Struthio camelus: one gene and its partners. The protein of the gene in region 2 interacts with the protein of the main gene of each other region in a biochemical or structural test. Links are inferred from orthologs where the notes say so. Each region holds a gene or a part of one and is shown on either strand. Other genes may lie near its edges.

Region 1 (7,610 bases), on a different chromosome or scaffold from region 2:
ATGAAAGAATCTCTTGGGTAGGAGACTAGGATTCAGGACTTGTGTTTTAGTGCTTTTTAACTCCACATGTGTCTTCAATAATGGAAAAGCTTTGCTAGGACAAAAGGGTCAACCAAACTGGAAGACAAAATCCATGGGTTTCCCTGAGGGAGTCTTGCAGTCCTGCGCCAAGCTTTCCAGTGGGTCTGTATCACTGCATTTTGATTCGTGTGCAACTCTTCCCTTCTGCTTTACCGCAGGGCAGCAGGTCTTCAGCTGTTAACACCTGAGCACACCGACTGTGCAGTGACAAAGGTTGCCTGACTTGCATATTCTAACAAAGACACTTATGACAGTTCAGTCAAAATATTCCAATAGCATGAGGAAGGCTAACAGTCAAAAACACTTTTATTTAATAAATACAGTATTTGATTAAAAACAGCATCCTTGGGTAACCCAACAGTCCAGAACAGCAATGTCACAAAGCTTCAGTTGCAATGTCAGGTAAGTTTTTTCTGTCACGTCCCTGCTGTTACAACATCTTGAGTAAGAGCAGTATGTGAACAATACAAGACAATAAGGCAATGTGGCTGCTCGCGGTAGCACAGCCCAGCAAAACAAGGAGAGGTAACAGCAGCCCCCTCTGATGCCCAGGAGCACGTATGGGTGCCCTTTCTCTCCACAAATGGAATGTGATGCTTTTGGGAACAAGCAATTAGGAAGATCTGCAACCAAACTTTTCTGCATTTTGAAAAATAACTTTCAGGACTAAACTTGGCAGGAAGATAAAAGCAAGAAGACAGCCCAAACTATGAAAACACTCGGTGTCTGGGCAGCAGGTCACCCGAACTGTTCCGAGAACAAACCAACTCTGGCAGCACGTGTCTGAAGCGCAGCCTTTTAAGTGTTTCTTCCTAGGCATAGTTAGGAACGTACACACAGGGTGGTTGAGCAATCAAAGTTAGATATTAACTGGAGTTCTAGGTTTTGGGCAGCTTTTTTTTTTTTTTTTGGTAGTTTGTTTTTGGTGGGGGGCAGTAGGGCATCTCACTTCATCTCTTGAATTCTGTGCTGGTTGAACTGCTGCCTGATGCTCAGCACAGGGGTGAAACAGGGCACAGGAAGAGGTTAAATATGGACACACACGTGTGCTCACTCGCTTGCTCACTCTCTGAAACCTCTGTCAGCCCTTGGTCAATTCACTGCTGGGGTTCCCAAACGTAAACAGCTGCGTATTCACTGACTTTCCAATTTGCCTGATCCATGGAGGGATCCCACCAGAAGCAAGTTCTCACCAAGCTATTTACATGACTTTGCAATGTGAAAATTGGCTCTTTTCACAGCACTGTTTTAGCCTGAGTGGGAGCATACAACTGTTACCAGGAAAAAAAAAATCATTACCCAAAAAAGCACATTTGAAGCTTGGTGATGAAGGGCGAGCGTCCTGCCACTTTAAACTGTTAACATCTTGCTTCAGAATCTGTATCAAGGAGTATGTGAAAAGCTGCAGTTAGGCAAACTCGCCTGAATTTTATGTATTGCCTCATCTTCAAAATGAGCCCCATCTAAATTGAGATTCCTCAGCTGGGGGAGTGCTTGGCACAAAGCAACAATGGCATCAGGGGAGAACTTATCACAGAGGTCAAGGCAGAGCGTTTCCAGGCACTTCAGGGTCGCTAGGCAAGCCAAACCTGCATTTGTCAAGGAATAAGCATTGCTGATCTCCAGCAGTCGGAGACATTTCATATGGCGCCCAATGAAACGAACAGCGGAGTCGGTAATGACGCAGTGGCGCAGCACAAGGCGCTCCAGCCCCCCCAAGTACACCGCTGCTCTCTGAATCCCTGCGTCTGTTACCCGGTAGGTCCCAGACAGGGTCAGCGTCTTCAGATGAGTCTGGGAGGAGACGTTTAGCAGATGCTGGTCGCAAAAGGCAGGGACGTTCCGGACGATGAGATGCTGCAGCTGGGGCAGGGCGCTCGCGGCAGGGCCCTGGAACCAGGCAGCAGGGATTTCGCAGTGACTCAGCTCCAGCGTCCTCAGGGAAGCAGGCATGCTCTGGTAGGGGAGCGGGCGGAGGTCGGCCTCGGCCAGGCACAGCCGGCCCAGGCGGGGACACTGCCTCCCGAGGGCGGCCAGCAGCGCGGGAGAGAGGATCTCGTGCTTCCTCGCCGAGCACAGCGCGCCCTTCACCTTCAGTGTCCGCAGGCCGTCGCGCAGGTGCCGCCGCAGCAGGTGCCACAGGGTCCTGGAGCTGACCTGAGCGAGAAGGGAGTCAGGCCTCGCGCGGTGGCCCCCAGTCCCTACCGGGCATCCTCCAGCCCCTGGCAGCCCCCAGTCCCTACCGGGCATCCTCCAGCCCCTGGCAGCCCCCAGTCCCTGCTGGGCAACCCCAGCCCTCACCAGGCAGGCCCTGGTCCCCACCGGGTGGCCCCCGGCCCTGTGCAGCCCCCGGTCCCTGGCAGTCCCCAGTCCCCACCGAGCATCCCCCAGACCCCGGCTCCAGCCCCCACCGGGCAGCCCCCAGCCCCCGGGCAGCTCCCGTCCCCACCGGGCAGCCCCGGGCCCCGTACAGCCCCCGGCCCCCATCAGCCCCCACAGAGCAGCCCCCGGCCCTGGGCAGCCCCGGTCCACCCCGGTCCCCGGGAACCCCTAGTCCCTACCGAGCAGCCCCCGGCCCCGGGCAGCCCCCAGCCCCCGGCTGCAGCCCCCGGTCCCCCACCCGGTGCGCGCTCAGGTCCACGTGTCTCCAGAGCGCCCGGTCCTGCCCCAGGCGCCGCCACCGCCGACAGACCCTGTGGGGAGAGAGGAGGCCGGTCACCGCCGGAACCGGGACCGAGACCCGGCCCCGGCCCGGCCCGGCCGCACCTGCCCGCGCGCAGCCGGTCCCGCAGCGGCAGCAGCGCCAGGACCTCCAGGAGCACCGAGTCGGGCAGCGCCGCCAGCCCGGCGCCCGGCGCCCCCTCCGCCATGGCAACGGGCCGCTTCCGCTTCCGGCGGCCGCGCTTCCGCTTCCGGGGCGCGAGGGCACCCGCGACTTCCGCTTCCGGCGCGGCGACTTCCGCTTCCGGCGGGGCAGTCGTCAGCGGCGGCGGAGTGGCCTGCTCGGGTCTCCTCTGCGCGGCCCCCCCCTCGCAGCCCCCGCTGCCGGCGGCGCCTCTCTTCCCTCAGGAACGATGATCGAAGTCGTCTGCAACGACCGCCTGGGCAAGAAGGTGCGGGTGAAATGCAAGTATCCCCGGGCTGGGGCCGGGGGGCGGCGGGTGAGGGGGGTGGCGGCGGCTCCTCCCGGTCCCGCTTTCCTTAACGGCGCCGCCAGCACCGAGGACTCCATCCGCGACCTGAAGAAGCTGATCGCAGCGCAGACTGGGACCCGCTGGGACAAGATCGTGCTCAAGAAGTGGTGAGCGGGGCGGGCGGCGGCCGCCGCTCCTCGGCCAACGGCCCCCTCGGCGCCTGGCCCGGGCTGGGGTGCGGCCGAGCGGCCCCCGGCTGCGCCCTAGCGCTGGGGGAGCCGGGAGGGGAATCCCGGCCCGTTTTGGGGTAGCGTTGCTTGGCCGGGCTGTCACGGGCGGCTTCAAAACCACGCTAGGTCTCCGCTGCTGCCCCTCCATGAGGGGGCTGATGGGAGCAGGGCTGTTGGGGAGGCTGAGGCTGCACCGCTCCCAGGGCGTCTTCCTTTGCTTTAACCTGTGGGGGGGTCACGTGTGCCAGACTGATCTCCGTTTCACGATAACTGCAGGTACACGATCTTCAAGGACCATGTCACGCTGGGAGACTGTATCCTTCTTGCTGTGGTAGTCTCAGTAAGGTTTCTCTGGGGAAACTTCCCAGTTAAATAAGAGATCGAGAACATTTACCGGACGCGCAGCCGGAACGCTGGAACAACGCGCGCGTCAAACCCAAGCAGGCAGCGTGAGCAGAGAGGAAGCGGCTGGGCGCATGCAGCGCTCGCCCTCCTTCCCCGCTGCTGGCAGCCCTGGGGGTGGAGCACGTCCCTGACAAGTGTTGTTTGGTTTGGGACGTTGTACAGCAAGCCAAAGGCAGCGTGGGGTGCAGCTTAGCGCTGGGGGAAGCTTGTCGGGGGCCCTGCGCCAGAACCACCTTAACTTGCTGCTTCAGATGAGATCCACGACGGCATGAACCTGGAGCTCTACTACCAGTAGCGGCGGCTGCCGCGCCGTCCCCACTCCCCGCCTGGCCTGGCTGATGCCTTCCCTCTGTTCCCCTCGCGCGGCCAGCGCGCCGAGCGCCCCGCATTCGTGCATGGAGGCAGTAGATGTGCTGTAGCCTCTCGGGAGTGTTTTGGCTAGTTTGTAATAAACATGTCCCTCGACGTGTCCCTCTTGTCGTGCTGCGGCTCGAGGGGCCGGTGCGGGCGGGCGCCGGGGGGGGGGGGGGGGGAAGCGGGCGCGCTCTGGGATCTTTTGTGCGTCGGCGGCCGCCGTCCGGCCTCCTGTCACGTGCCCCGCGATCGCTTCCGGGAGCAATGCGGCCTCCCGCCCGCAGCCAATCAGTGCCGGAATGGTGCGTGCTTCCGCCAATGGCGCTGAGGACTCGCGCACGAAGGAGGGACGTAGCCCACGGCTGGGCCAATGGGAGCAGAGCGGGGACGGGGCGTGCCCGCCCCCCGCGCCAATGGGGGCCGGGCCGGGAGAGGTCGGTGCGGGAGGCGCAGCTGCCGCGGCCGAGGGAAGATGGCGGAGGAGGAGAAGCTGCCCGCGGGCTGGGAGAAGCGCATGAGCCGCAGCTCCGGTACGGGCGGCGGCAGCGGCGGCGCTGAGCCCCCGCGGGGCGGGGGGGCCTTGGGGGTGGCGAGGGCCTGGCCGGGGCGGGGGGGGGCTGGGTGTCTGAGGGGGGTCTGGCCGGGGGGGGCGGGGTTTTTGGGGGTGTTGAGGGCTGGTTGGGGGCTATGAGGGTAGCCGGGCGGGGGGGATTTTGGGGGTGTTGAGGGCCTGGTCATTGGGTCTGAGGCGGCCTGGTTGGGGGGGGTGGATTTTGGGGGTGTTGAGGGCCTGGTCATTGGGTCTGAGGCGGCCTGGTTGGGGGGGGTGGATTTTGGGGGTGTTGAGGGTGTAGTCTGGGCTGTGGGGGGGGATGGTTGAGAGATGGGGGCTCTGGGGCAGGTGCTGTGAGCTGGACTTTGGGGTGGGTCTCGAGAGGTTCTCGAGGGGTTGAAGTTCAGGCTTTTGGGGGGGGGGTCCTGAAGGGTGCCTGACTCTGGGGCTGCTTTGACTAAGATGGTGCCTGACCTGGGGGGAGGGTTTGGGCTTTTGGGGGTGAGGGGCAGCTCCTATGTCCAGTGGGATGTTGATCTACAAGGGGAGATGGAGCGTGATTTCTGGGAGCTGGGTTGGGGTGAGGGATGTGCTGGCCCTGCACCCCTGGGGGGAGGGTGGTGCTGGCAGCTGCTCCGTCCCTGTGTAACTGGCGGGGAGGCCTGGGGATGGGGGGATTGAGCCCAGCGAGACCCTTGTCTGAGAGCCCCCATCGGAACATGCAGGATGTCTTGCCTTCAGTGTGGCTGCTGTGACTTTGTAGCTCGAGAGCAGAAGTCCTTGGTCAGGATGGCGTTTTCAGCAGAGTTTTTGTCCTTTCTAGTTAGAGCTTTCCATGTTATGGGACCTAATGGCTCAAAAGCAGTTTTTAGGATGCTGTGTTCTCATGCTTGACTGTGGGGGAGATGAGTCCAGGGAGGCAAAGCGTGGAAAGGGAAGAGGTGTCTGTGTGACGCCTTCTTTGTTAAAACTGCGATGGTTGAAGTGCCCTGGCGATAGGGAGCTTTGTGATTGTGTGGAGTTGTCAAGTCTGGGTTGTTAGTGGCCTCCTGGAGGGAGAAACACGGATGACTGTATGGCACTGGTTGGGATTGCAACCGGGGAATTGGGCCCTTTGTCACTACAGCATGACTTCCTACTGCATAGTAAGTTAACCACTGCTGTTGCATTCCCCCTCCCTCGATTTCCTGGCAGAATGGGCTTTTTTTGTGAGTCTTCTGTGGCTCTGGTTTCACTGGAATGCTTTAAGATGAATGCTGCAATAGAAGTTGGAAATCATCTTGATTACAGTTGTGAATTATTGCAGATAAATGAACATGTAGCTCTGAGCCAACACTGGAAGGCCTTTAAGCAAGTGGTGCATCCCTGTCACTGGATGACAGTATTAACTGGCTTTGTTTTAGTGCTGAACGTGGTGTTTTCATAGATGATTTAATCAGAACTTTACTTTCTGCTATGAGGGGGAAGGCATGAGCGTTTTGTGTGGGGAGGTCTTGTTTTCTGGTAGAAACAAAAAGTGATTTTGGAATTGGGCTTTTCTGAGCAATACAAAGACAGGACCTTTGGTAAGGGTAATTTATTGCATTTGCTGCAGCCTGTGCTAAATGATGCACTTAACCGAGAGGCTTTACCTTGTTTCACCATTGCAGATAGTGCTAGAGTGAAATACAACCTTATATCCGCACACCAGAGACCTAGCACCGATCCCTAGCTGCGCAGGGGCAAAAGGGCAGGGTTCCACCGTGTTACCGCGTGCCTCCTTAGAGGATGTGTTGCCATCGCGTGACTGGGAGCTGACTGCGCTCCTTGCTTTCTTAAGAATAATCAACACTTCACATAGGCGAACTTGTGGTCTAACCCTGGCCGCAGCGGCAGGGTGTTGTGTGGGAACGTTTGTTGTTCTGACTGGAGCAGTGGGTGCTTTTGGCCCTGATCTATGGGAGCTTCATGACTTGCCCTAAATTGGAAGAGCTGCTGGAGTCTGCTTCTGCGCAGAGCTGTTGCTTTGACTAAACTCGTGTTTCCATTTGTGTAGGAAATGATGTATACAGAGCTATAAACTACTGTGTGCGATACCATGTTTTTACTGCGCTGGCATTGATAATCTGAACACGGCCGACCACAGTCTCACCTACTTGCAGAAATCTGGTCTTATCTGTCTAGTGGGCCTTGAAAGAAGCTAGTTCTAGGGGTCTGACAGGAGCTTTTTATAACCCTGACGCTCTCTTTCTGTCTGCAGGCCGCGTTTATTACTTCAACCACATCACAAATGCCAGCCAGTGGGAACGTCCCAGCGGCAGCGGAAAGAATGGCCAAGGGGAGCCCACCAAAGTGCGATGTTCACATCTCTTGGTGAAACACAACCAGTCCAGAAGACCCTCATCGTGGAGGCAGGAAAAGATCACGCGGACCAAAGATGAGGCACTGGAGCTTATAAATGGCAAGTAAATGCAGGAGAGAGAGAAAGAGTGATACTATTGTAGGGGAAAAGTCATTTTAAGGCTTAGAACTGAACCCTGAGATGAATGGTTCAGTGTGTCGTGAACTCTCTAAAGCAAAGTTTTTGAGCCAAGTGGTTTGAACATGGACTTTCGTGTAGCATAGCCACTTGGAGAAACAATTTTGCTGTATGATTTGCTGGCTGTGATTAAATGACATAGTCCTACCCCATGTGCCTTCTTCCCCTTATGTTTTTTGTAATGTTGTTTCAGAGGTTTGCTTGTATTTTATTTGTAAATGTGTATTTTTATATTAAAAATAAAGTAATTATTTAAAGCTAAAACAAATGTTCTTTAAACATCTCTTTTTGTTTAATATGTCATTTGACTCTTTGCACTAATGGCAGTTACTGTA
Region 2 (6,659 bases):
TTATAAATCAAAATCTATATTACTGCTGGTCAAAGCATCTGCCTCTCACATCAGCAGACATATACAGTTAATTTCCAGGCCCTACCCACAAGTTAGTTTATTGAGACATGTAAATGGCTATGGTTTATAAATGGGTCAGGTAAGTGTTCTTTCATACGACTAAGGGAATATTTACTTAAGGACATCAGGAAAGGGGGGAAAAGCCCTAAAGTAATAGCTGTTTAATAAATTAGGAGCCTAGTCACCAAAATTCCCAGCTCCTTGGCTGATGGCCACGAAGGATCACTGCCTCCATACTCACGGGGCCTACTTCTGTTTTGTGATCTGTGGCACTGGGAGAATCTCAAATGGTAAAGTTGGCACTTAGCCGAAATCTAAGATGAGACTTCTGTCTTCAGCCAAGCACCTGGTCACCAATCGTTCCCACATTAGACTCAAAGAGGTGGAAAATCCCCTCAGAACAAGCAGCAATGAAAATCTGTCTTCAATTCCAGAGCCTCCTGCTACGCACAACCTTTATGACCAACTTGAGTGCCTATTGCCAGCCTGGACCAAACAACCCCTAAGTGAGTAGCAATTAACATAATGAGTGGACTGATGAGCGTCCCGCATAGCTACAGGCCTCAGCAGCAACATGTCCCTAGCAAACTGGAACGTCTAGTCCTGAAACTCCACCTTTGTAAAAGGAAGGCAGTCGGAAACTAAAACGGGTGGGGGAAAAAAAGAAAAAGAAATTAAATGACTTAAGTGAATATCTCCATCCCAATCCAACACTCACTGAAGCTAATGAAAACCTTGCATTGATACTGGGGGGGGGCTGAACTGGACCAACCATAAGGGAGTAGTTTTTCAGATTACACACAAATTTATTAAACAGAGCAGTTAAAGCTACAGTGACCACACTCCAGATTTGTAGTCTGGACTTGGCTTTCTAGGACAAAATAGACTTACAGAAAAAAACAAAAACACAAACTGAATAGACAGAACTCTGACAAATTAAATATGTCAACAATTCACTGGAATGAACTTAATTAGGATTATTTGCCTATGCCAAAAACTGACCAAAGCAAATGATTTGCACAGGTTTCCTATGTAACAGAAACCAGGGGGAAAAAAAAAAAAAAAAAACTTTTCAGCTTAATTTAAAAATTATTCTTATTCCATAATAAAAAACTGCCACACAACAAACTACTTAAAATTCCTGTCTTACCTTTCTCCAGAATTTCTTCCTTGCACAGACAAGCCCTTTATAAACATCCAAATTGTACACTGACACAACACAGAGAGATCATTTACAGTATATCTCGGGGGGGAGTTTTAAAGCAGCAAGAACGTAAGGACAGCCATATCAGGTCCAACTAGATACCCTATCTCTTCACAGTGGCCAGCAACGGATACCTAAAGAAGCATATAAAACCAGGGAAAGCACACAGCAGTTTTGCCTCAGGATGCTCTCACAGACACAAGTCATTTGCAGCTTTGGGGTTTCCAGAACCAGAGACGTATTGCATTCAAGAGCCCTTAAGGGATTTTTCTTCTGCAAATTCATCTAATCACTTTTAAAGCAACGAAAACCTTTAGCATGCCAAGGAGCTCCACAGCTTAACGACGCATTCTGTGGAAAAATTTTGCTGATTTGTTCTGAACCTACTACCTGCCTACTACCTTTGATTTGATGCCCCTTGGCTACTGGGTCAGAAGAGTCAGCGACTGGCCTCCATTTATCCTATACATAAAGATTAAAAAGGAGCTAAAGAGCTGCATTAATGAATTTAAGAGATTTTCTTATGCATATGCAGTAATTCATGCTGTTTTGCAAAACAGTATGCAGCTGAAACTACAGTGGTAGTCGAGTTGTTCTGCGCAACCTGCCACGCAGACATGTTGCCTACGTGAAGATAGCATGTATACCAACAGCATACAGAAGGCCACTAATTCAAGGGCAAACTTTGTAATTTATACTATGGATTGTTAACACAAACGTACTAAGAACTGCAACTGGTATTTGCATAAAGCCAATCAGCTTACAAAGTAACAACAGTGCTGACCATGTGGTCAAATGTATATACTGACTGAAATCAGGTGGGAACACTAGGGGGAAAACAGCAAAGAAAAATAAACAGCAATAACTTAAGAACAGTGGAGTTATATGTTCACTTTTATTTCACAGCTGCTTTTGCTTCTGTTTGTTTCATTATTGTTTCCTATACTGTAACTGGTAATTATGTCATTACGTCTAGGGGAAAAAAAAAATAGGACAGAAGAATTTGAAAGTGTATTTTCAAACCTAGACATAAGTTTGTTGGCTTTACATACTATAAAAAGTGATTCAATTCTGCAGACCACCCTGCAACAGAAAACTTCTTTTACAAGTGTAAGGAACTGCTGCACCACTCACATGATACTGTACACCTCTTCAGTCCCTGTCCTACCCTGTATTGTCACTGTCCATCCTTAAATAGCAGCTGCACTTTATCCCAGAGGTGGCTGCATGTCAGCTTTTACAAATTCACACCACCCGAAGAGAAGAGGGTGTGCGGCAGGGTGAGGAGGGGGAAGGTCAGGAAATGAATTCAGGCAGTAAGGCACACCCTTTTATTAGAGAGATACACTAAACTAATACATGCAAGTCTCTCATAAGACTAGCTACGATAAACTAGGTATTAGCCAGCTGTTGCTCTAGAAAGAGCATGTCAGCACAGACTTGACGCTCCTTGCTTAGGGCCCTTCAACTCCCCCCCCCCCAACCAACCTGTACTTCCACAGTAATATTAGGACACTCTAAAATTAGGCTGTCGTTGTCCCCTCCCCTCGGAGGATGAGTTCAGAGAAGCCCATCTGGAACTAGGTTTTTTCCTTGTCTTTTTCGTTTGGTTTTGTTTTGCCCCCTCTATCTTTCCGGCAAGTCCTGAGCCCAGGAATTGACGCCACCGACTAAGATAATGGCAATCGCGCCCTTACTTGCATCCCCACCTCTCCCCCGCGGCCATCACGAGCTATTAGACAAAACGCGCGTAACCGCGTCGTAGGGCTAGTGGCGGGCAGGGCCAGGGCACGGGGGCAGGCCGGGGGGCCGGCCCGGCCCGGCGGACACCCCTCCGACCGCCAAGGGGCCGTTCCCGGGCCGCAGGGGCCCCCCGCCCCGTGACGCGGGCGGCCGAGCCGCTCCCGGAGTCCCTCGGCGGCCGCCCTCCCCCCGGCGGCGGCGGCGGCTCGCGGGGCCCGGCCCGGAGGCGAGGCCGCGGAGGAGGCGAGGCCGCGGAGGAGGCGACGGCGCGGCCCCGGGGCGCCCCTCCGCGCCGGCAGGGCGGGCCGAGGCGCTGGGCCGCGTGGGCGGCGGGGAGCGCCGCAGGCGCGTGGGCGGGGGCCGCCCCGCGGCGGTTTGTGCCCTCCGCGGCCCCGCGCGCGCAGCCGCCTCGGCCCGGGCGCCGCCCCCAGCCCTGCCTGGAAGCCGCCCGGGCGAGGGGACGGCGGGCAGCAGGGGAAATCACGTGAGGGTTCTCCCCCCCGCCGCCGCGGAGCACCGGGAGCGCCACCTTAAGGGCCGTACCACCCGGCGGGGGAGGGCGCGGCCACGGCCAGGGGCCCCGCCGGCGCAGGGCAGAGCGGCGGCCCGCCCTCACCCCGCCGCCGAAACAAAACACAAGTCTAAAAAGCGGGGGGGGAGGGGGGGAACAAACGGCGGTTTAACAGCGGCGGCTCCGGCGCGGCGGGTAAGTCGGTACCTGCCCGCCGCCACCCCCCTCCGGCCCGCGGTTGGTACCTGACCGTTAAGGAGGCGCCCCCGCCCCGCCCGCCGCCGTCCAACCCGGCGCGAGCTCTGGGAGCGGGTAACCAGATATTCAAAACAATACGTCAGCCCACAATGCCCCGAGCCGCCGCCAGCATTACCTCATCCCACAAGGCCCCGCGCCGGCGCTGAGAAGCTTCTAGGGGCGGGGTGGCTATGGAGACCGGTTGATATGCAACAGGCCGGGCCAGCGGCCCGCCTCCCCCGGGAGATGCGGCGGCAGCCAATGGGGAGCCCGCGGGGTGACATCATGGGCTATTTTTAGCGGGTTCCCAGTCGCTGATAAGTGAAGGCTCCACGCCGGGACAGGGCTCAGAGCGCGCGGGGCGGGCGGCAGCGCGGCGCCAGCGCGGAGCCGGGTACGGCACGGCACAGCACAGAGCACGGCCGGCAGCGGCTCCGCCGAGGGGAGCGAGCGGCGAAAGGCGAGGGAGCTCCTGCGCCGGGGACGGCGGCTTCCGCGGCCGGGGAAGTACTTGTGGCAACTTGTGGCGGCGGCGCGGCGCGTCCCGTCCCGTCCCGGCGGCGGCGGCGAGCGAGGCGCCCCGCGGCACTGTTCCGTCCCTCCCCAGCCCCGCGGGGCCAGGCGGGCTCCCTGCGCGGCGGCAGCGGCGGCGGGAGGGGGCACCAGCCCGCCCGCGCCCCGGCGAGAAGCGGCGGCGAGCCGGGCTGCGCCCGCTGCCCCGAGCCGCGCGTGGCCGGGCCGCGGAGCCCGAGGCAGCTGCGCTAACGCCAACTTCCTCTGAGCGGGACGCGAGCGCCGGCGCCGGCCGAGCAGCTTCTCTCCGCTGATCGCAACTTTGGTACAACTCCGCGGACTGTGTTCTATGACTGCAAAGATGGAACCTACTTTCTACGAGGATGCCCTAAACGCTACTTTCGTGCCGCCGGAAAGCGGCGGGTATGGATATAATAATCCCAAAGTGCTGAAGCAGAACATGACTCTGAACCTATCCGATCCTTCCAGCAACCTCAAGCCTCACCTGAGGAACAAGAACGCAGATATCCTCACCTCCCCCGATGTCGGGCTCCTCAAACTGGCGTCGCCTGAACTGGAAAGGCTCATCATCCAGTCCAGCAACGGGTTAATCACCACCACTCCGACCCCAACGCAGTTCCTCTGCCCCAAAAACGTTACTGACGAGCAAGAGGGGTTTGCGGAAGGCTTTGTGAGAGCTCTAGCCGAACTGCACAACCAGAACACCATGCCCAGTGTTACCTCTGCTGCTCAACCTGTTAACAGTGGCATGGCACCTGTGTCTTCTATGGCTGGCAATAATAGTTTCAATACTAATTTGCACAGTGAGCCTCCAGTGTATGCCAATCTCAGCAACTTCAACCCCAACGCACTCAACTCTGCACCTAACTACAATACAAACAGCATGGGCTATGCACCTCAACATCACATAAACCCCCAGATGCCAGTGCAGCATCCCAGGCTTCAGGCTTTGAAAGAAGAACCTCAGACTGTACCTGAAATGCCAGGGGAAACACCTCCCCTGTCCCCTATTGACATGGAGTCACAGGAGAGAATCAAAGCTGAGAGAAAACGTATGAGAAACAGAATTGCAGCATCCAAATGCCGGAAAAGGAAGTTGGAAAGGATTGCCAGGTTGGAAGAAAAAGTGAAAACTTTGAAAGCCCAGAACTCAGAGCTGGCATCCACTGCCAACATGCTCAGAGAACAGGTTGCACAGCTAAAGCAGAAGGTCATGAACCACGTCAACAGCGGGTGCCAACTAATGCTAACACAACAGTTGCAAACTTTTTGAAGAGACTGACTTGAATAAGAACTATGATACCGTGGTAGAACTAAACAGAAAACCAAAAGTGGCAGATACATAAAGCTAATGGTAAAAGCTGAAAGGTTGAGTCCTGCCTGTGCTCCGCAAAGCGCATGTGTGGAAAGACTGGCAAGCCTTCAGCTTGAGTTAGTAGTGAAGCAGTCAGCACCGCTCCAAGAAGTGCTGTTCCTGCTCAGATGAGACGTCAGATCTTCGTTTAACATTGACCAAGACCTGCATGGACCTAACATTCGATGATCATTCAGTATTAAAGGTTAAACTGCAATAGAAACTGTAGATTGCTTTCTGTAGTATTCCTTAAGAGAAAAAAAAAAAAACACAGTGGGAGGGAGGTTTGTGGGAGGCTGATCAACAACAACAAAAAAAGAACCATTCTGCCTGCCTTCAAGTAAATTGTGTATGTACATATCTTTTTTTATTTTATTTTATGAAAGTTGATTAATGTCAATAAACTACTTCATGACTTTGTAAGTTATTTTTATGTTGTTTATTTGGGCACTGCCCAGTATTGTTTGTAAATAAGAGGCTTTTTTTTCTTCCTTTTTTTAGCACTCTGAGTTTACTGTTTGTAATAAAGTATAATTTTTTAATGTTTCTGTTTCTGGAAAAAAATCTAGAAGGTTCTATTATATTTAAGAAAATAAAATAATTAAAATGCATTTCCCCCTCCCACTTTTTTTGCCAGTACCTGAGTCAGGAAAATACCCTTTATTCTGACCTCAAAAGGTAGGGATTACGTTAAACTTGTAATATACAACTACAGGCATGCCCTGGAGAATGTGTGAGGAGTAGAGGGAGAAAAAACATCCTGATCCTTAAAGGAATATAACCTTTTGAATCTTCATTATGTTGCAGTTCAGAGTCTTAACTTGATTAAACTGTTTGCCATATTCTAGTGGCCCAGTTTAGAGACCTGATTTAAAGTTAAGCAGGTTGGAGAAGGGTCAAATGCCATTGCATGATATTGCCCCATGCTGTAATAGTCTGAACTGTGACTGGCTGCTTTTTATTAAACTAATGCCTTTAACAACATGCGTAAGGCAAGACATATGGGGGGGGGGGGA
Region 3 (7,533 bases), on a different chromosome or scaffold from region 2:
ATACCCATCGGTCCCAGGCTGGCATCTCACTTAGAGGGTCACACGAGGGTACCAGGCTTGGGACAGCCGCACAGTAGGATCTGGGTGCTTTTCTCCATCCCAACAGACCAAGGAGGTTCCCCTTCCGCAGGCTTAGGTGGGAAGGGCAAGAAGCAAGGGCAAGCCGGCAAGAAGGGGCAACGCTCGCAACCCCATCGAAACAGTTCTGTCTGCGAGAACCTGGATGAAGCCTTCAAAAACTGTCCACCTCCAACGCAACCACCCTCCGTGGGCTGCCGCGCTGGCAGCTCGCTGGCCCAAAGCTGCTTAGTGATAGTCATTTTATTTTTGCATCAAGTAATAATTTATCATCTTCGAGGGGGTGGGGAAAATAGCTCGTGGAAATGACATTCTTCCGCAAGGTTTTAACCCGCGAAGTGCTGGCATTTTCCAGGCTGCCTGCCAATATAATTCCCAGGAGAAAAACCAGTGTTTGTAGATGTGCTGGTACATTAAAAACTCATTCAGTTCATCAAACCCTGGCATCAACTTTAAAATAAAAGGAGCATCCCTAATGCAGGGATACGAGCAGTACGAAAGAGCATGCTTCACTTGCTGCAGCGAAGGCTGTTTGCAACACATGCTTTTTAACAGATTGGCCACCGGCTGTCTCCATTTCCCATCACGGGAATTCACATTTAGTGTGATTTCAAAAGTTTGCAGCAAGCGCACAGATAATACCTAATCTACCGAAGGGAAGCCAGGAAGAACGGTAAATAATGATGCGATGGCAAACACAGCAAGAGCCCTTCTGCACCCTCCGCAAATACTCCAAGGGATGAAATGACTTGGCTAAGGTCACACAGAGAAAGCGAGGGAGAGAGGTCGAGTACCGGAGCCTCTAAGCCGCTATCTTAAACGACCCGGCAGCGACTGCCGTTGGATCAGCGGTGCTTTGAGGAGGTTGTCCACACCGTTTCTGGGGACGGCGTGGCCAGGGGCGGCAGGGAGGGGGCTGCCGGTCCGCACATCGCTTTCCGCTTTAACGCCGTGCCCCTTTTCTCAGCCGCTGCCAGCGCTGAAGCAGATTTGACGGTGCCTTAAGGGCCTTCCACCTTCCCAGAGAGACAGCAGCAGGATGGTTAAGGTTTGGACCAGGCAGATATGTGCATGCACACACAAGCCCTCGATCCCTGAGCTTGGGAGTAAACCCGACTTAGACTTTGCCTTTACCCAACTCATTAGTCGGTGGGGAAAAAAAAAAATACTAGCCATCGCTATTTTATCATTAAGCTTAAAGTAATGCCACCACCACCAGCACCGTCAAGTCTATAGCAAACCGACACCTGGAGGTCATGCCAAGGACGCAGGTTTAGGTGAGACACTAAACCAGAGCGGCCGTTGCCATTAAATCACGCCGCTCTCTGGGATCATAACAGCTATTTGCAATAGCAGGAAGACGTGAACGGGAGGGAGGGGGTAATTAGGTCATCTGCTATTTCACTCACGTATTTCCCTCCGTGAAGGCACAGGCTTAAAACACAACACCACGCACCAGCTCCTCAAGCAGGGCAAAGCAGCGGGGCTGGGGGGAAGAGCCGGACCCGCTTCTCGCTAGGCGGTGAAAGATCCCCTGCCCCAGGGCAGCCCGCGCATCCCTCTCGCGTAAAGCACAACCCAGCCCAGGGCAAGCCAGGGCTTTCCTGCGGATGCAAGGCCCGGCTTTACTTTCGTGTTTCGCTACAGGTTTCCTGCAGGGCAGGTGATGCCGGCGCGCCGATGCACAGGGGCACGCAGACGGACGCAGGCGCTGGACGCGCAGCGCGCTTCCATCACAATCCAAGCCGCCGGACGCGCGTCGCCGCTCCCTGCTGCCCCAGGTGAAAATGTCCGGGTAGCCCAAAATATCCCGGCTTGCGGGAAAATTGTTTACGTGACGTTCGGGGGCAAGATAAAAACCCGGCCGAGTTAGAGGCAGCGCCAGCGGTCTGTAACCAGGAAACCGCGCTGGAGCCAGCCCACAGCCCCCAGAGGTGTCAGTTGACAGCACTGGATGGGAAGTCGATGGTAACTGCAATACCAAACGAGTGGCCACATGCAAAGCGATAATTTAGAGACTAATAGGGACGTGGAAGGCCTTGACCGTGCTTCGCGGGCGCTCACAGCTCCTCCTGGCTTTTTCGGCTGGGTGAGAGAAGCAGGATCGTGCCCTTCCCGGGCAGCGGCAGCGGCGTATCCGCAAACCCCTGCGGCTGCCGCCCGTCGGGGCTCCCAGCTCCGGCTGCTCCCAAAAGCAAACGCTGGCGCTCGTGGCATTTTCTGCCCTTCGGAGGATACCGTCGCTCTTAAAAACGAAGGGAGGTGCAGCAAGCAGTCGGCCAAAGGCAGAAAGCAGCCCCAGCGGCCGGGGCTGAAAGGCAGCCCGTGCACGGGGAGCGAGCATCTGGCCCTGGGCACCTCGCTTCTCCCCCGGCCGAACCAGCCAGCATCCCAAAAGCAGCAACGCAAAACATACAATGAACTGCAAACTCAACCGACGGCGATAACGCCAAGAAGCAGCAGCCTTCTAGCCCGAGGTGAGGAAAACCATAATGTTCCCCTGAGCATGCACACAAACTTCAGATGCTCTATATACAAAAGGGATTTTTTGGGGGGGCGGGGAGGGGGGGAGGTGGGGGGGGGGGGAAACGCAGCAGCTCAGCTATTTACAAAATCCCGCCGCGCTGCCAGCAAACACGCGAATCGATCGCTGCGTGCAGCTCCCCATGGGGAGAGGAAAAAGTAAATCATCGGCAAAACAAATCGGAGGTGTCCTCAAAAACGAGCGCAGGTACCTGCAGCCCACGCGCGAGTTCAGAAAGAGCCTCTCCCCGCCGTCACTTACTACTTCTCGGAAAGACCCGGGGAGGAGGCGGGGGGGGGGGGAAAGGTTACGTCCTCCACCACGGCTGGCCACACTTGCCTCCGATCTCTTCCCAACTACCTGGTGCTGTCCTCCGCGCCGGAGCTGGAGAGGATGGGAATGCCATAGCGTGCGCGGCAGGGCCGCCTATTCAAAGGCAGGGGGAGTGGTCAGCCCCGCATGCAGGGCGGTGGGAAAGGCGAGCTCCCACGCCGCCGCCGAAAGCCACCTCTGCGGATGGCACGCCGGACCCTGCCGGTCCAGGCGGGGGGACCCCCGCCCCCCCACCCCGCTCCCCGGAGGCTAGCTGGGCCAGCGGCCTCGGCCCCGCTCCTGCCGCGGATATTGCCGCACGGCGAGCGCCAGCCGGTTGGGCCCCGCACAGTCCTCGGGAGGTGGGAATTAGTCTTTCCGTGGAAGTGTGAAAAGAAAAGAAAAAAAAGGGGGGGGGGGGAAAAAAAAGGCAAAAGGCACGGCGAGCACAGCCAGGGCGAGGTTTAGCCGGCGACCTGACGCCTCAACGCCGGCTCCGCCGCTGCCGCTCCCTGGAGGTGCCTGACCCCAGAAACCGCGGTTTCTTCCTAAAAAGCCCTCTGGGCACCTCTGAGCGTCCCGCTCGCGTGCTCTGCTGGCTGCAGGGGGGCTTTTCGGTGCCTCCCTCGCCCCCGCGCCGTCGGGGAGCCGTGGTGGCCGCTGGCTTTCTCCCCAAAGCAGGGAGGCTGCGGCGATCGCCCCCTTACTTAAAGGCAGCATCTCGGAGCGAGCGCTGGGAGCTGCTGGCTCCGTCCCCTCCTCTGACCGCGGCGGCCGGTCCCCGCTCACAGCGTCCCCCTTGGTGCGGGGGCCGGCGGCGGCGGGGGTCTCCGGCGAGGCCGTGCCGGAGACGGACGGCCAGAGCGGTCCCCACCGGGCCCGCCGGCGGGCAAAGGGACAGGGGCCGGAGGAGCAGGTTGCGTGCCGAGGATGTCAGTGTAAAGTCGCTACCGGGCTCTGGGGGAGCAGGGCCTGGGGTTCGCCCCTGCCAGCGCCGGCGGCCTTGCCCGGCCCCAGGCAAGGCCGCCGGCGCCTCCAGCCCCAGCGCTGCTCCCCCCAGCCTGGGCACGGGAGGAAGCGCCCGTCTCGCCTCCCTCGCTCTCCCCGCCGGCGAGGCTGCCTTTTCCTCCAGGAGAGGGCTCCAGGCTGAAAATGCGCTCCGGCTCGAGCCGGAGATCCGAGTCACGACGGCGGCGTGAGCGGCGGGGCTGCCTGAGCATCCGGGAGCAGCCCCCGGGAGCAGAGGTGAAGCGCCGGGGGGCCCCAGCCCCGCTCACGACCCGCCGCCCGGCCGGCACGCAGCAGCCGGCGTTTCGCCGTGAGCTCTGAGACCCAGAAAGCCCAAGCGAGGAGGTGGATTTTCCCCCCACCCCGGGTTGGCTGCAAGCGCTGAGCAGCTCCCTGCTCCGCTCCGGATGCGCCCGGTCCTACGGAGCCCAGCGGCTCTCTCCGGGCTCTCGCTGTCCCCTCGGTGCCGGCAGCCCGAACACCGAGGCTCACCCCCGTCCTGCGCCGAGGCAACAAGTCCGCTTACGGAGAGAACGGCAGGCTTGGAGCAGCCGCTCTGGTTTCCCCTGGAAACCCTAATAGTGAACTTGAATACACCAGTGACAGTGGGGACACAGCCGCGGGGTTCAGCCCTTCTTACCCAGACGGAGTGACACGGTGATGCTCTGCTCGCCTGAACGTGCGCAGAAGCGGCCGGTTGGCAGGAAAGTTTGCAGCATCTTCTCCGTACAAAAATGCAGCCTGTACATCTACGTATTGTCACCGGAAATCCAGGCTGAGGCGTTGGTCAGTCTAGGGGCAGAAGTAACTCCTGGGGACCTCCTGGCCCGCTCCAAACGCTGGACGCTCCCAGCCAAGCAGACGATTGCAAAGCGCAGACCAAAACAGCATTTGCAGAAGCTATTAAGTGAATAATTCCTGCCAGCACCGGCTCCTAGTGCATCCACTGCTGCCAAATGCTTCCTAGAGAAATTAAATATGCAAAACTGTAGCGCTCACAGGCGTAAAGGACTCTCCAGTTCTTCGCCTCCCAGCCCAGGAGACACTGATTGCTCAGATGCGTATAGTGACAGATACAGAACCAGTATTTACGCGCATAAAACTATTAACAGGGACTTTGAGGATTTTCTCAAGCTCCTAAGCGCAAAGCGAATTTCCATTTTAGCCCTTGCCTTAGCTGGGAAACACATGGCGACAGGTGGCATGAATACACGTTACCTGTTGAACTTGCAGCCATAAGGCGCAGATCCCGCTTGTAGCTGTTTTAACTCAGGAAATTATTTGCAGGGTTCCATCTTCTCGGGAAGGTTTCCAGCCTTCTGGGCTTCGGCACAAAGGCTCGGTCACGTCTGAGAGCCAAAGGAAGAGAATTCATCCAACAATCAATTTTTATCTGGGCAACTCTTCCCCAAGGCTGCAGGATAACCCTGCTGGCAGCTGCAAACAAGATGTCTTTCCCAGGGCTGGAGGGTTTGCTCTGGAGCAGACGGTTCTTCAGATGCACTATCCTATATATTAATAGCCGCTGTATACGGCTGTCCAATTGACCGTGCCTCTGCAAAATGGAGAGGCTTCTGGTTTGGCTGTTCTTGACGACACGGCACGGTGTCTGCTGGGCACGGATCGCCTCGCTCGTCTGGGGCAGGGCTTGCACGTGGACGCCTGATTTCAGGGTGGCCGCTGCCACATCGGTCACCTAAGCCAGTTGCCTCAGCTGGCAACAAAAACGTAGCTTTAATTGAGGGTGGTTTGTGGAAGTTGTCATGCAACTGTTGTGCAGAAAGAAGGACTTTCAGTTCCAGATGGCTTGAGTTTTCATTGCACTTGTAAAAAAAAAAATAAAATGATCCCTGAATGCTTAATCAAAGCAGTTATTAATGTTTCTGCCAAATCTGAAATGTGTCATGAATGTTTTCACGGGCTGCGCGCTCGTTGGCTGTTTGTATTTCAGTGGCACATAGTGAGCTCGAATGACATCCTGGCCCTCCTGGAAGGTGCTGGACATATACGTTAGCAGAAGCAGCACCTTTTCCGGTGAGTTAAGGCGTCTTTATCTCCATTTGGCAGGTAGAGGGATGGACGGAGAATGAGAGTAGCATCATGCTGAAGAAGGCTACAACTGGGGAGGATCACAGTCTGTATCGCAGAGCTGGGCAACGATCACCCGGGCAAAATCCACCTCAGCCAGAGTTACACTGACTGTCATCTGCCACAGTTCAGGCCCTGCAGGTCCCAGGTTGCTTTCCAGGGAAAGACCCTTCAGAGTGGTAATCCCCTTGAAGATTATAAGCCATTGAGGGTGATAAGATGAATGAAGACAGCGTCCACATCACTTTATGGACCTGTAAGTATCATCATTCCCGTATGACACTGGAAAAACAGAGCAGGAGCTGGTAAAGTCACCATGAGCACCTGATCCTGTCTCCTTTCGGCTGGTGCTACGTGGTGGCCCCAGTGCCAGGGAGTAAAGCATGGGGAAACCTGACTTGGAGGGTTGTAGCGATTCCCAGGCGCTACTTGCACTGTGAAAAGATGATACAGCCAGATCAAGGTGTACAAAAAGCTGTCGTTATTTGAGCGCGTGGAAGTGGTCACCATTGAAGGTGAGCAAATTTGGCCTCCTTGCTGCCTGGATTCAACGCATCAGCAGCCATGGGAAGCAAACGGATCCAGAAAGTGAGCAGAGTCCAAAAATAAACCTCCCAATGCTTGTAAATGTTACGGCAGGTTCACCCCGGCCGCAGCAGCATTCCCTCCTGACCCTCCTCAAAATGAAGACGATGGTGCATCGCGTGTGCCACAGATGCTTCAGCAGTGGCCCATGAAGAGCCGCGCACATCTGGCCGCCAGCTGCGGAGGCTTTCCGTCGCTGGCTAGCCTCGAAAGCAAACGGGAGTCGCCACCGGAGCTCGCCCCTTCTGGCCCAGCAGGCAGAGAAAGGGACGGAGACCTGATTAATAATTACCCCCGTTGCCTCCTGGTGCAGGACCCGAGGACAGCCACAAGCCCCGTCCGAGTCAAGGGGAAACGTGTCCCCTAGAGCCACGGGATGGGGTTTTGCCAGTCCTGGGTCAGGCAGGAGCTCAGACCCCCAGTCTCGGGTACATGCAATGGGCACAGGATATAAGCTAAAAAGAAAGGCGATTCTGGGGACATCCTGAACGCTAAAACTGGTCCACACATGACTGCTGTGAGGCTATATTAGGTTAGAAGCTGCTACAGTTAAATCTCCTTCATGTGGCCTGAGTTAACTGCTATAAACTTGCTCATACGTGGTTTATCTTGCTTCACTAAGGGGCACAAGAACTGTGCAGCAAGCGGCTTTAAATAACCTCGGGGTCTGAAGATGTGAGAACGGTTCGGGTGTGACAGGATGGGTGGAAAAATCCCTTCGTTCTACTTTGAGCACTGATTTTTAATACAGCCTCCCTCTCTACATATGATTATAAATATATATATATATATTTATTTTTTTATATTTATATACACATATACATGATAAAACCAAAAATAGCACTAACTCCCGTCAAAATTTTCATTCTGGAAGAGGAAGTGAGAAATTTCCACTCAGCTCTAAGTATGATGTTAAGCAACATCTCTAAGGAAGTTCT

Evidence for each region. The genes of interacting proteins can lie anywhere in the genome.
Region 1: the proteins of JUN (region 2) and PIN1 form a complex in vitro, tested with the Homo sapiens proteins (2 studies listed by BioGRID). The link is inferred for Struthio camelus from reciprocal best matches to the Homo sapiens genes JUN and PIN1.
Region 3: the proteins of JUN (region 2) and ETS1 form a complex in vitro, tested with the Homo sapiens proteins (2 studies listed by BioGRID). The link is inferred for Struthio camelus from reciprocal best matches to the Homo sapiens genes JUN and ETS1.

Annotation. Positions count from the first base shown.
Region 1 is NC_090972.1:5,062,697-5,070,306, reverse strand, and holds the start of PIN1 (peptidyl-prolyl cis-trans isomerase NIMA-interacting 1), read left to right. Parts: upstream 1-4,575; 5' UTR 4,576-4,676; coding exon 4,677-4,734; intron 4,735-6,996; coding exon 6,997-7,197; intron 7,198-7,610. Other genes in the region: FBXL12 (F-box/LRR-repeat protein 12), read right to left, coding at 1,465-2,238, 2,643-2,774, 2,892-2,951. UniProt on the Homo sapiens protein: Peptidyl-prolyl cis/trans isomerase (PPIase) that binds to and isomerizes specific phosphorylated Ser/Thr-Pro (pSer/Thr-Pro) motifs.
Region 2 is NC_090949.1:34,117,663-34,124,321, reverse strand, and holds JUN (transcription factor Jun), read left to right. Parts: upstream 1-4,108; 5' UTR 4,109-4,617; coding exon 4,618-5,562; 3' UTR 5,563-6,070; downstream 6,071-6,659. UniProt on the Homo sapiens protein: Transcription factor that recognizes and binds to the AP-1 consensus motif 5'-TGA[GC]TCA-3'.
Region 3 is NC_090963.1:7,815,941-7,823,473, reverse strand, and holds the start of ETS1 (protein C-ets-1), read right to left. Parts: upstream 3,036-7,533; 5' UTR 3,009-3,035; coding exon 2,942-3,008; intron 1,723-2,941; exon of another isoform or gene 1,488-1,722; intron 1-1,487. UniProt on the Homo sapiens protein: Transcription factor. Directly controls the expression of cytokine and chemokine genes in a wide variety of different cellular contexts. May control the differentiation, survival and proliferation of lymphoid cells.